Caenorhabditis elegans: one gene and its partners. The protein of the gene in region 1 purifies or fractionates together with the protein of each later gene. This does not show direct contact. Each region holds a gene or a part of one and is shown in the gene's direction. Other genes may lie near its edges.

The links. Proteins that work in one complex are often made in the same cells at the same time.
Region 2: the proteins of mis-12 (region 1) and hcp-4 purify together in Caenorhabditis elegans (affinity purification with mass spectrometry; one study listed by BioGRID). This does not show direct contact.
Region 3: the proteins of mis-12 (region 1) and him-10 purify together in Caenorhabditis elegans (affinity purification with mass spectrometry, with the first as the bait; one study listed by BioGRID). This does not show direct contact.

The regions. Positions count from the first base shown.
Region 1 is NC_003279.8:3,603,787-3,607,645, reverse strand, and holds mis-12 (uncharacterized protein), read left to right. Parts: upstream 1-1,942; 5' UTR 1,943-1,951; coding exon 1,952-2,033; intron 2,034-2,089; coding exon 2,090-2,157; intron 2,158-2,205; coding exon 2,206-2,286; intron 2,287-2,337; coding exon 2,338-2,394; intron 2,395-2,445; coding exon 2,446-2,535; intron 2,536-2,740; coding exon of another isoform or gene 2,741-2,773; exon of another isoform or gene 2,774-2,817; coding exon 2,818-2,967; 3' UTR 2,968-3,131; downstream 3,132-3,859. Other genes in the region: Y47G6A.25 (uncharacterized protein), read left to right, coding at 1-153, 203-488, 781-866, 914-1,180; Y47G6A.31 (RING-type domain-containing protein), read right to left, coding at 3,219-3,522.
Region 2 is NC_003279.8:3,862,100-3,867,804, reverse strand, and holds hcp-4 (HoloCentric chromosome binding Protein), read left to right. Parts: upstream 1-1,866; 5' UTR 1,867-1,867; coding exon 1,868-1,912; intron 1,913-2,017; coding exon 2,018-2,224; intron 2,225-2,273; coding exon 2,274-2,480; intron 2,481-2,529; coding exon 2,530-2,652; intron 2,653-2,704; coding exon 2,705-3,690; intron 3,691-3,742; coding exon 3,743-4,302; intron 4,303-4,347; coding exon 4,348-4,497; intron 4,498-4,547; coding exon 4,548-4,870; 3' UTR 4,871-4,972; downstream 4,973-5,705. Other genes in the region: pgk-1 (putative phosphoglycerate kinase), read right to left, coding at 1-54, 110-253; guk-1 (guanylate kinase), read left to right, coding at 5,253-5,307.
Region 3 is NC_003281.10:5,801,556-5,805,845, forward strand, and holds him-10 (Kinetochore protein Nuf2 homolog), read left to right. Parts: upstream 1-1,704; 5' UTR 1,705-1,709; coding exon 1,710-1,814; intron 1,815-1,865; coding exon 1,866-2,020; intron 2,021-2,066; coding exon 2,067-2,618; intron 2,619-2,674; coding exon 2,675-2,980; intron 2,981-3,037; coding exon 3,038-3,095; intron 3,096-3,142; coding exon 3,143-3,439; 3' UTR 3,440-3,557; downstream 3,558-4,290. Other genes in the region: polq-1 (DNA polymerase theta), read right to left, coding at 261-905, 956-1,192, 1,245-1,368, 1,419-1,487; R12B2.3 (Ras-associating domain-containing protein), read left to right, coding at 4,055-4,059, 4,106-4,199. UniProt on the Caenorhabditis elegans protein: Acts as a component of the essential kinetochore-associated NDC80 complex, which is required for chromosome segregation in mitosis and meiosis and spindle checkpoint activity.

The DNA.
Region 1 (3,859 bases):
ACAAATTTTGAACGATCTAGTGTAAACCTACGATTCTTATTGTGTCCCGCTGATTTGAAAGAACTGAACCGAGAAATTATTGCGGAGAAACGGCAAAAAATGAGCGAAAAGGAAATTATTTGTAGATTTGGAAGCGATAAATTCAAGATTAAGGTGTTTTTAGTGAAATTTTGAAATTCAAGTATTTATTTCAAATTTGCAGCTATTCAAGAAACAAAAAATAGGAAGCCATGTAACACTGATCGACTCTATTTCATTTCTCGGATTTTTGCCTGAAATCGAGCTCTGCCGTCAGGGATTCCTGGGAAGCAAACGATCAAATAAGCTGAAAATGGACATTACAACAGATTCTAAACTTGGAAATAAGATTCTTTTTTCCTTATCACAGTACTTGTTAAACGAAACGAAACGTCCTCAAACTGCTCTTTTCTCGTTCTCTTCAAAACCGAAACTTCGTGGATTCTGTATCATGGTGGCGTATGAGAGTGGTCCGTTCTGGGAGTACGGATTTCGTAATGGAACCTCTGAAAAATCTCTTTTTAAAAGATTTTTGGGATTAAAATTTCGAAAAAATTGGACAATTTCTCCAATTTTTGGTAAAATATTCGATTTTGAATTTTCGAATCAGCCAAAACTAGGAGTTTTAGCTGAAATTAGCCACTTTTTCGAAATTTTTAACCACTCAAAAAAAAATTTTGAGATTTTCTTTGGCAATCTCATTACAAAATTTGTTTTTTTTTTGGCAAATTTGTAAAATCCAACTGTAAAATCCAATTTCAGAAAACGATGAAACATCAATCACCCTGATTCAACTCAAAGCATCTCTGGGAAAATGTCTCTGGAAAACCCTGAAATTTGTAAATCAGGTCAGCTTTTTCTGGTTTTTGTTTGAGAATAAAATCAAATTTTTCAGTCAGGTGAACATTCTAGACCGCTTCCCGACGACTCATACGAGCAAATTGCACCGATAGAACGGAAGCAGCTGAAACGAAGATTGTCTCGAATCGAACGGATCGCTTCTTCAGTTGAAGAAAAAAGAGCACAATTTGAGGCTTTCGCCAGGGAATATGACGCTTTGGATGCTCGAGACGCCTTCATGAAGTTCACTTCCACGTGGCAAACGGATCAGGGACTTTTGACAGCGCCCACGCCCTTCGAAGATGATAATAATAATAAATGATTTATTTTTTGAGATTTTTAGAGGATCGAATTTTAGAATAAAGCACTTGGAATTTATAGGTATTTAGGTTTGTTTCGTTGTTTTATTTATTGGTTTACAGCCAAAATTACTTTTTTTTTAACTTTTTAATTCCTCCTATTGATTACCCAGGAACTGCGATTTTCCACCGAAAATACGGTACCAGGTCTCGACACGACAATTTTGTGCTGAATGCGATAGGAATTTCCCAGAGAATCGAAAAATATGCCTTTTTTGATTTTATAAATTTTTTCCGATTTTTAGAGTTAAAAAAAAAAAGGAAAAAGCGACAATTTTCGACTTTTGATTTTGAGAAAATTCCAATTTTTGGATAATTTTCCGTCATTTTTTATTTTTTAAAGACTTTCTTTATTTATTTTTCATAATTTTCATCCAGTTTTTAACTAACAAAACTATTGTCACACAGAAAACCATGAAAAATCGATAAAATATCCGCAGCGACAAAAGTTTGAAATTACAGTAATCCTTAAAAGCGCACACCCGTTTCATTCAACAAATAATTGTCGTTTCGAGACCAGAAACAGTATTTTTGGAGGAAAATTGCAAAATTTTTACGCCTGTTTAATAATAAATATAAATATGTATCCATGTTCCATGTCCGCAATGCGACGTGAGCGTGTATGCACACCTCACCTCCCGCGAACCAATAATCTTCAAAAACAGTTTTTCGCCCTCATTTCTTGATTTAATCCTGAACATTTATTCTTTAAAAATTCAATTCAGAAACTAAAAATGGAGAGCGAATTGTCGGGAATCTCTAATGAAAATCAAATCTCGTTTTTCGGATTTTCGGCCGGTTCGTTCAGCGATTCCAGTGAGTTTTATTGAATTTTCGAACGTTTTTTTGCGGAAAAATCAGAAATCTTTCAGTTTTCAATATTTACGTCGACGCATGGGAAGAAGTTTGCAGCAATGAGTTTAAGAACTCATTGAAAAAGGTTTTTTTTTCAAAAAAGAAATTTAATTTTAAAAAATTTAATTTTCAGCTCACCGACAAAGACCGTCTCTGCTTGCTATCCTTCCCATTCAGCGACAAAACTAACGAGAAAGCATTCAAAATGATGAAGGTTTGACATATTTCTCGATTAAATATCTGAATTTATGCCAATTTTTTTCAGAGATTCTGCGTCACAAATATCTTCAGAATTCCCGCCTCTGTGACTCTTCCAGAATGCGTAAGAATTGCCTTTTTTCGGAAATTATTTATTTAAAAAATCATTTTTCAGAAGAAAATGCTCATCGCGTCGGCCAAGGAGCACAAAAGTCTGAAACAGGTCGAGAAGGAGTTCGACGAGAAATTGGAGAAAATTCGACAGGTAAATAAAAATAAATGAGGAACCTATCAGAATTTTTTTTTTCTTCACTACTAAATGGACTTAAAAATGCGGAAAATATACTGAAAATAGCTTAAAACTGTCCAAAATAGACTACAATGACTGAAAAAGGCTGCAAGTTGAGTAAAAATGACCGCGACTAGACTGAAAATCGTCAAAAAATTCAAGAAAAATTGCTTAATTTTAGAAACCTGCTAAAATCGCCAGTTTTTGCATCTAACCTTTCCAATTTTCACATAAAAGCTTCAAATTCCAAATGTTCAGCTCCGCATCAAACTGGCAAAACGACATGACGAGCTAGAAGCAGTGAACAATGCTATTGAAGTGCTCCATGTGATGGAGAAGAGCCAAGAGCAGCTTATAAGCCAGAAGAGAATTGTCCCCGATAGCCCAACACGAATGTCTCCAGTTTAACCTTATTTGTTCGAAAATCGATATTTTAAATATTTGATTTCTCTTTATTTTCTTTTTTTTTAATCCTATGCTAATTTTTTTCTTGAGCTCAAATTTGAGTGCTTATGAAGCTACACATTTACCAACTTAAACAACTATATAAAAATAAATTTATTTTTGAGAAAAATCGTGAAAAGGTACATGAAAAATAGCATACAATCATTCCACCGAACATCTTTGTGACCCGTATTTCATCGTCTAGAAACACAAAATCAAATCATTTTGAAATAAATACACAGAACAAAAAGAATAATCACAGCAATTACAAGGATCGAGAGGAAGTACAGAACACGTTTTTTCGACGAAATACACGATTTTTTGTCATCCAAAGTTTTCCCGTCGTCTTTATCAATTTCCAGGCTGATCTCGGAGCCCATGCCGAGCTGCTTGATTTTGTGCTCGTGCTCATCCATATGATTGCACGCACAGCCGAAGCAGAACGTGTGCTCTCCGCTTTCTCGGCGATCTTCCCAATTTGCATAGTTTTGGAGCATGCATGTCGGGCAGTAGTAGACGCTGGAATTAAATTTTGAGAAAAAATTATTTTTTGTTTTTTTTTAAGCTGCGATGTTCCTTTTTTTTTCTTAAAATTTTGTGAGATTTCATGAAAAAATCTTTAATTCTTTTAATTTTTATTACTAGCTACGATTTTAAAGGCGCACACTCGTATTTACAAGCGAGGGTCTCGCAGCGAAATTGTTTAGATTAACAACTGCGATGTGCACCTTGAAGATTACTGTAGATTTTATTGAATTTTCTTTAGATTTTTTCGCATACTTCTTTCTTTTTCGATTTGTAAGTAGTTTTTCTTCTTTTTTTTCATTTTCATAACTTTTAAAACACAATTTTCGAA
Region 2 (5,705 bases), 260 kb from region 1:
ACGTCCCAAATGTGACATTAAAACGACAGATTTGGCTCCGTTGCTAAGAGCATGCTGAAATTTTGAATATTATTGAAAATGTTGTTTGAAATAAATTTGAATTGATTACCTGAATGGTTGGAACAGCGGCAGCAATACGTTGATTGTTGGTGATTTTGCCATCCTTGAGTGGGACATTGAAGTCAACACGGATCAAAACTCGCTTTCCGGCGAGGTTCAACTGGTCGATAGCCAACTTGTTGAGGGAGCTCATTTTTCTGAATGCTGAAATTGTTTGATATTGATTTTCAAAAATTTCAAAGATGGTCAAAACAGGAGAGAATGTTAAAATTGAGAAACAAACAAGACAACTATTTTGACGAGCGACGTGAGAAATGATAGAAGTTGTTGCTCGCCTTTCTCTTTTACACTGGAAACGCAGAGAGACGAGAGATCGAGCGAGAGACCGCGCATTTGGATGGGTTGAAACGAATCAAATAAAAAACACATGAAGAATAACCGAAAACACAAATATAAATGTTTGAAGATCATTTGAAATTAAGAAGGCATGAACAGTAGTGATAAAACAAACCATTTCTAGAAATTTGATCAAATATGCTGTCAAAACAACGTCACTCATATAGATAAAAGTAAAAAATCAAGAATCACAAATGTTTTAGGGAAAATCTGAATTAGAAAATTGGAAGAAATGAAAATAATACATTTTGTAAACATTTTTTCTCAATTTTGGATGAAATCGATGAAGGGAAACCTTCAAAATTGTAAGACAAAAAGGCAAAAACAAAAAATAAATGGAGACCCGAAGAACTCGGGGGATGTCCAATTGGGGGGATTACCAGGGGATTGGTCCCGCCCACAGAACCGTGGCTTGCAATACGCCCATTTCTGCAACTGCCGCACGGTTTTAAAATTATTTTTTCTTGTTAATTCTCGCTCTATTGAGAAAAATACAGTTTTAAAACCGTGCGGCATTTGCAGAAATGGGCGTATTGCAAACCACGGTTCTGTGGGTGAGGCCAATCCCCCGAGTTGGTAATCCCCCCAATTGGACATCCCCCGAGTTCTTCGGGTCTCAATAAATGTTCGAAAGTATAGAAAGCATGCAAAATTGCGTTAAGTTAAATGCTGTCTGTGCAAACATCTCCGCAAAAGTTCAAAATTTTTTGCGCGGGGGCGCGGGTCTCACCACGAATACCGTACACTTGATACCGACAGGCGGGAAAAATCATTTTTAGAGTCTGATTTTTAGGCTTTGATTTTATTCTATTTTTCTCTTTTCGTTTTAAAATTTTATTTTCTTGCGGATCATTAGAAAAAAAAATGAAAACGCGCTTGAAATAACTTTCGAAGAACTTGGTTGAAATCAATATGTACTTTAAAGAGCTACCGCTCAACTAATATTGCACGAATTTTATTTAGAAAACTACTAATAAATTCTGCGTTTAGTATTTTCTACTGTTAGGGACGTGGAGGCCTTGTTGAAATTCGTGAAAACAAGCATAAATAGATCTCGATGAAGTATTATTCATTTTTCTTTATTTCACCAAAGCGTATCGATTGGCCTCTCTTCAAAACTGCGTTTGACTTGGTTCGGCTATTATTTTATACAAAGTCTGTGTCTTTCTCCCTTAAAATCAATCAATATTTGGCTCATAATACCTTCTTGCCTTTTGAATGCGAAAAGAAAACAATAAATACGTTTCCTCTATCCTCTTCTCGTAGCCTTCCCCCTCTAACCAAACGCGCTCCGTTGTACAATGCAAAACCGCCACTTTCAAATTTAGCTCCCATTTGACATCGAGAAGTTTGCTTATATTTATTCACCTCTTAAAATTGTCTTTTTTTCAAAACGATATCAAATTGCAGAATGAATCGAAAACCGCGAACCCGCAGTACGATTGTTCCTGGTCGAGTAAGTGATTCAGATTTTTAAAATTCTTAACAAATGTTTGATTTTTACAAAAAAAAAGTTCCACATTATGGTAATTTGATTGCTTACTTATTTTGTTTATTTCAGAAAATGATCACTGAAATCGTTGCTCTTCGTGAGGCTGGCTTGGACGATACAAGACCGTCGTACTTGGAGGAACCAACAGTTATCGTCGATGAATCGATGATGAATGATAGTGCAAATTTGGAGGAGCGAGAATGGAGAAAACAGGGACTATCTGAGAAGCAGATGTTCGCTATTTTGGAGAAAAGGAAACAAACACAGCTTAACAATGTAAATTTCAGTCACAAAATCTTTTCAACACCTAATAAACTATATTCAGGCCAGAAAACGTCTCGAAAAGGAAATGTACGGAGCGAAAACCTTCAAAGAGTTGATTGCTTGTCGTGAATACTCCGAATGTGAGAGCGACAGCGAGAACACTGTGAATCAAAATGTCCGAAGCGCTTCGGTTTTTGCCATTCCGGCGCTTCCGAAACACATCAGTGAAAAGTCGATGATGGGCTCGCCAATTGCTAATTCCAGAGGGGTATGAGATGAATTTGCGTGTTCATAGTTTAATAAATCTATAATTTCAGAGTGGAAAAGCTGGATTAAGTTGTTCAACTCCCAAGAGCTCGAGTGATACGTCGATGAGGTCCTTGAGATCGCTTGATATTTCACATGTCGTCAATACCGATCGACTAGATGCTGAAAGAGTGGTAAAATTTGTTTGTTTTAAAGATATTTAAACTAACTTTTATATCGTTTCAGACTGTTCACACCAAGTCTGTCGTTATCCCAACCATTCTCGAGGAGAGAGAGTCAACACTCCAGAAAACTCTCACGATTGAGAAGAATCACAGCTCTCAGCTGCAAAAAACCTTCACTGTGGCTGAAGATGCTCCTGAAGAACTTCAGAAAACGGTGACAATCGAGAAGAATCAGAGCTCGGAAATGCAAAGAACGTTTACGGTGGCTAAAGATGCATCAAAAGAGCAATCACAGCTTCAAAGAACGGTAACGATCGAGAAGAATCAAAGCTCTCAGCTGCAAGGAAACTTCACGGTGGCTAAAGATGCTCCTGAAGAACTTCAGAAAACGGTGACGATCGAGAAGAATCAGAGCTCGGAAATGCAGGGAACGGTCACAGTGGCTAAAGATGCAGAACACTCCTCTCTACAGAAAACGTTCACAAAGCCGACCGAGAAAGATGAGTCATCACTTCAAAGAACTTTCAACGTAGCTAACAGAGATGAAAATAACGATTCAACTCTTCAAAAGACGTTTATTATTGAAGAAAGAGATGCATACGAGCAAGGAACCACGAGTGTTGGTGTGAAGCCTCCAGTACTGGCACAAAACACGATGGAAGGAGGAGAAAAACGGAGAACGTCGAAAGTCACTTCGGATGAGCGAGAACGACGTAATGCCAGTATTTCTAATCCTCTTCACAACAGTATGCTCGAAAAGGAAGAAATTCAATCGCCGGGAGCCAACTTCTTCAAACATCCCCGAAAAAAGATCAGACCGGTGGTTCAAACGCCGCCACGAATCAAGGCAACCAGCAGACTTAGTACTGAATCGAATAAGGAGCGAACGATTGAGATGGAATCGGTAGCTGAAGAACGAACAATGGAAGCGGATTCTATTGGCTCGTCTTATATCTCTCCAACATTCAATGCATCTCGAGTTTCGCCGGTTCCAGAAGTTCCAGAAAAAGTGGAGCCAATGCATGTATCGAAAGCCGCAACTCCAAAGTATGTTTTTTTTCGAATTGCGGAATATTATTCTTATTTCTCCATTTTCCAGATCGATTCGGCACACGGATAATTCTATCCGTAATATTGGACCCACCAACAATGTCGAATGTGCTCGGGCTGCACTGCTCTCAACACCGACTAGGATGGATATCGTTGATTCTGTGAATCGAGTGACCCCGGCACGACGATATGAACAGCCTACTTTCGCTTCACTCGTCAAAAGGATGAATATGAAAGATGCTAATCGTTTGCTTGAGGAAACTTCACGAAAGAATACGCCTGCGAAGACTACTGCTACAACTTCTTCAGCCGCTGTTCGCATGGTTTTGGAGGATGATGAGGAGGATCAGGCGACGGAGGTCATTGAAAAAAGATCTGAAAATGGTGGTGTGATTGTCGATGGTGAGGATGAGGCAGCAGATTCAAGCAATCGCTCCCTGAACATCGAATTGAATGCGCTGACTGTCAACGAAGAGCCTGCACATGATATCAGTGCCATTGATTTTCCAGAGGACGATACAAATGAAATGAGATCTTCTTCTGACGAAGAAGAAATGGAAGCACGTCCAGATCCAAGGAAAAAGTCGTCTAGAAGACTCGGGCTTCTTAGTGAGTGTTACTTCACAAATAACAACGTTTTTAAAACAATTTCAGGTGATTCGATTGCTCTTGGTCTTGCTAGTTCGTCGAGAAGACGCCCAAACGACACATTCGTTGACGAAACATGGTATCCTGAACCGAATTCTAAAGGAAACAGACGTCCGAGAACACACAGGGGTATGAAACTGAAAGAGCATCAACTCAGTGAGTTTTAATTAATTAATGCAATCATTCGAAACTTTAAACATTTTCAGTGAAGCCAGAAGATGCTCCAGACGGTGTCCGAAGATCGACGCGTGTCCGCGTGAAGCCTGTTCGTTCGTGGCTTGGAGAACAACCGGTTTATGTCAATTCGCCGATTAGTGGCTGCAAGCGATTGACTGGTGTGACGGCCGTTGTCATCAAGGATCCGCGTTTGTGCTATTACAGAACTGCTGACGTCAGAACAGCAACCGAGCGAGAGCTGAAAGATAAGGCCAACAAAAGGGCTTTGGCGCAGGAAAAGAAGCAACAAAGACAGAATGCAAGAAGTGGGCGACGTCACGATAGTGACGACGATGAAGAAGATGATATGTGAAGAAATAACTATTGCTCCACTATTTAGCAATGTCAAAAAACCCATCTAATCCCAATACCTGTAAATAATGCAATTTTAAAGGGAATAAAGTTTGAATCTGTCAATCCTTTTTTATGTTTAGTTTATATCTGGTGAATTGTTCCAATAAATTTTATTTATTTTTCTTTAATTTGCGCGACATCCTCCATATGCCTAGCAAAAATTCAGATTAGCGATTTTCAATTTGCTCTAATGGGTTGTATATCCGGCTGAGCCACACACACACATACACATATTTATCACTAAGTCGTCGTCATAAGCGTGATATATACCGGATATATAAGATTTGGATATTTACGAAGAGGCGAGGGGTATAAATAAGCGACGGCCCGTTGAGGTATTCATGCACGCCACCTCCCGTGTCGCCTGGTTTTGGCGGCCGTCCTGTCAATCGTTTAGTAAGTCTTTTTTGCGCGCTTTTCCAGAAAAAAATCAGCTTTTCGTTTTGAAATGTTGTCACTTTACAAGATTTTTCCATGTATTCTAAGATTCTTCTTAAAGGCGCACGGATTTATTCAGATGGGTCTCGGCGCGCAAAAAAGTTTATGGTAGTCTTCTGAGAATTCTTCCTCGTTTTCCTCGGATTTTTAAATGAAATTACTTGGTTTTTAGCGAATTTTATAGTTTTATTTTCGATTTTTTAATTGAAAATCGTTTTAAATCAATTTTCAATTCACAAAAAAGACTACCATCACTTTTTTTAGGTTTTCGTTCAGAAATATCTTTTTTTACCCGCATCTGTTTTCGCTATACATATATGTCCTCTTTTGTTGGCACTCACATGATAACCTAATGC
Region 3 (4,290 bases), on another chromosome or scaffold:
GGAATCTCGAAAAAAAAACCGAAAAATTTTCGCTTTTCGATTTAAAAAAAAGGGAAGAGCGGGATTAGCAAACAACTGGAAATTCTTGAGTGAATAGTATTTTTTGAAAGTTTAAAGTAAATTTTTATCAACAAATCTTCACCCTAAATGAAAATTATTGTTTGATTTAATTTTTTCCCCAAAAATATTTCAACAAACATTTTGCTTTTAATTTCTTCCGATATTTCGGTTGACCACAATTAAAATTTTAAAACACTCACCTGAAGCCAAAGTACTTGTAGCCACAAGAATAACAATATTTTTCTCCCGAAATCCTAGTTCAATGCATTCTCTTTCCTCCATCGTCAATCCAGCATGATGATATGCTACTCCCCATGCAAGTGTTGACATAACATTCCGATCCTTGCAACCATTCCGTTCCAATCCATGCTTTATAAATAATAGTCCATTGGCTCGTTCTTTTAATATTTCCAACAATGAGCTGTCGGTTTTATTGATCTCATGGAATCTCGACGCAATATTCAAAGCAGTCTTCTCGGCATCAAGTTTCGAAGAAATCATTACCAAAGTCTGAGAATTGCGGCGAAAACTCTCTTCGGTAAGCAATATTAATGGATCTTCAGAGAATTCTCTTAGAACTTTGTTATCTCCAGATTTCCTCAACTCCGAACCAATTACAATATGATTTTGTAGAACAATTGGTCGAAATCTTGCTTCGAAAACTTTCGCACCGTCCAGCCATTTGCCTATTCGATAAAGTTCTGGAATAGTTGCACTCATTCCGATAATTCTAACTTTTTCCAGTGCAGATTGGTTCCAGAGCAAAACTTTCGAGAGCATGTGCTCAATGTGTGCACCACGAGACGAATCGAAAACCATGTGCATTTCATCAACGACTATCATTCCTGAAAGCTACTTTTTGTGAAAATTTTAAATTAAAATCGATTTATCTAACCAATTTCCTCAAACCAATCTTCTGATAATGCTCGATTTGTCAAACTTGCTGCTTTTTCGATGGTACAAACTGCCCCAAGCCACTCATTTGGATTTGAGGCCTGTGGACCAATGAAGCCACAGACAGAAATGTCATCTCGTCTCCAACACCGTTGAATTTGATGAAGTTTCTCTCGAGCCACGGAGATATAAGGAAGTACGAAGAGTACCTTTCTACCAGTTGAAGCGACTTTCCATGCTGAAAATTACAGTTTTTAAACATTTATTCTTTAAACCAGATAAAATAATACATAAAAGTTCAGCTACAATGCTTTTCCCAGCACTTGTTGGCGCACTGAATATCAAGTGTTGATCTTCAAATTGTCTTGCCTCATTCAACACATCAATCTGCCAATCGAACAGCGCTTTGATGTTCTGAAATTAAAAAAATTTTGTCCCTATTTCATCACAGCGATTTATGTTACCTGCTCTGCGTAATAATCGATGATTTTTGAAGAAACCCATTCTGGAAATCTACAGGAAGCCTCGTCCATCTTGTTTCATACTAAAAACTCTGATTTCAGACTGAAAAACATGTTTTTTTCAGCGAAGAAAACTAAAATTTGTTTGTGGCCGCGGTGGCCTAGTTTTCACGGCCGAGAAATGTCACATGTTTTGGCGCGCTCTTCGGCGAATTCAAATAAACTTTTTTGTTTTTAACAATTTCTAACTTTATTTTTGTGTTTTTAGAACTGAAATTCCATTTTTCAGGAGAAATGTCAAACGTTGTACTAATTGTGTATGATCCGCGGATGATTTCAAAGTATCTTGGTCAAAAATTGCATATGGGCCTTGTCGCCGATGACATTATCAAGCCAACCGTAAGTTTGAACAGAATATTGAATTCATCAGCACAAATAACCCGATTTCAGGCAGAAATAGCGCAACAAATATTTGCTAATTTTGTGAGGCTTGTGTTAAATGTGTCGGAAAGCTCGCTGACGACCCTTCCGCTGTCCGCCAACTGTGATTATGATCCAGAATTGCATAAAAAGAGCATTCCTATCATTATTCTCTTCCAATGCATGTAAGATTTTAATTTTAATGTTAGATTTGCTGAAATATTTTTTCAGGAAAGCATTTATCAAAGATAATTCTGGCAACAAGCTGGACTTGACGATGTGCGATCTCGTGACACCTGCAAAACACGAACATCGATTCAGAAAGCTGACAAGTTTTCTTGTAGATTTTCTGAAACTTCACGAATTGGCCACTCCAGCGTTCAATGAAATTAGCGAAGAGTTCAGTGATCGAAAGTTCGAAATGGAAAAGATTCGGGAAGAGTTGTTAGAAGCCGAGAAGAAGAAAAATGATCTTCTCGCGAAACAAAGCATAAGAAAACGTCATGAGCATGAATTAATCAACGAACAGAGCAATGCGAAGGCAGAACTTAAAAATGTTGTGAACGAATATACCGAAACTCGTCAAATTAATGAAGAACTCGACAAGCAGAAAGAAGAAGCTATTCTGCACATTCAAGCCCTCGAAAAGGAAATGCTAACTGGTAAAAAGACAATTGAGCATTTGAATGAAGAAGTTCTGACATCGCCGGAACAGCTGAAACAAGAAATGGAGGAAAGGAAACGTCACATTGAAGAGCTCCGCGATTGTCTTGAATCATCAAAGTACTGATATATCTTCAGTCTCTCCAAAAATTCAAAATAAAAGTAATTATTTTCAGAAAAGGCCTTCAAGCAAAACTCGAGGCTCGTGAAATTTGCATCAACTCGGAGAAGAACGTGCCAGTGATTATTGAGAAGATCCATCAGTGGACTGAAGTTCGAGAAGTTATCATTGACCTGATCGATGTTGAAAGTGAGAATCTTCGAAAGCTCAAGGAAATGGAGGAGCAATTGGATTTTATGATGAAGGAGATGGAAACGGCACAAAAGCGACTCGTCGAGCAGTCGGAGACTCATGAACAATTGCGTATAGAACACACGCAGAAAAGTGAAGAGCGTCAGCGTAGAATTGAGGAGATTACCGAGTGAGGAATTTATTTGATACTTTGAAAACATTTTTTTAAACGATGTAAATCTTTCAGGCAAATCGCAAATTTGAAAACTAGTCAGCCAGATGTGTCACAGGAAATTGCTAAAAAGGTTTTTGTCAGATCAATCTTCATAAAACTCACCAACATTTTTTTCAGAAGCAAGAACTCCTCGCTCTAAAAAACGCACACAGTGAGACGATTTCCCAAATCACCAACTCTTGCCAAGATGCTGTTGCAAAATTCGCAAAACTTAATGCAATGTTCAAAGAAACCCAGAAAGTAGCTTTTGAGAAGAACACTGCAGCTGCACGTGAAATGGAACGTCTAAAAAGCTCTCTTACCGGACGCCTTCTGAGTGATTACACATTCGGATCATCGACAATCGACGCCGGAGAGAACACGGAAAATTGTGATCCACAACCTAACGATTCGAGTTTTTCCGTTTTCAAATAGAATGACTCAACTCGAAAATTTCACTTCATTTGATCTCTATTCAATGTAAATGTTATGCTTTCTTCCATACCAATAACAAAATTTTAACTGAGTCTAAATAAATCATGTGGTCTTTATTTTCAAATGTTTTCTTTTCATTCCCAGGCTCTAGAAATTTCACACCAATTTACTTTTCAGGTAAGAATTCACTCAAGTGGTATTTACGGGGAGATTATGTGCCTCTGTTTTTAATTAAAAATAAAATTAGAAATTTTGAATTTTTTGCCTTGTATTTTTTTGTTTGCGTCTTTAAGACTACAGTAAGACAAAAAGTGGGCGTGGTTTCTTATTTTGGAGAAAGCTCAAACAGGGAATAAGTGAGAGTCGGAAGTTTTGAAACGTTTTTTGAAAAAAAAATTATCTTGAAATGAAAACTTTTCCAGAAATTTTAAACTTCTCTTCGCTCATTAGCTCTACAAGTTGGAATTGTCCTTCTGAATTGAATATTATCCTACCAAAATTCTAAATAAATTTAAATAAATCGTGCGGGCCTCGAGTTATTGCATTCAACATTGACATTTTTCGTTCATTTCTCAATTTTTGTATTGTATTTCTGAAAAATTCACTCTACAAATTATGCAGTAAGCTTTTTCAAATAATGTTCTTTTCAGATTTTATAATTTTCAGACCATTAGACCTTTCGGGTAAGAGATTAGTTCGACCAGATGATTCAAATGGTACAAGATCTTCCACTGATGATGTACATTCGATGTGCTCTCAGGTGAGCATTCATAGTACATGATGATGTTTTAGTTTTATATATGTAAAAGAAACGCTCTTTGAAGTTAATTGCTTTCCATGTGTATAAACTA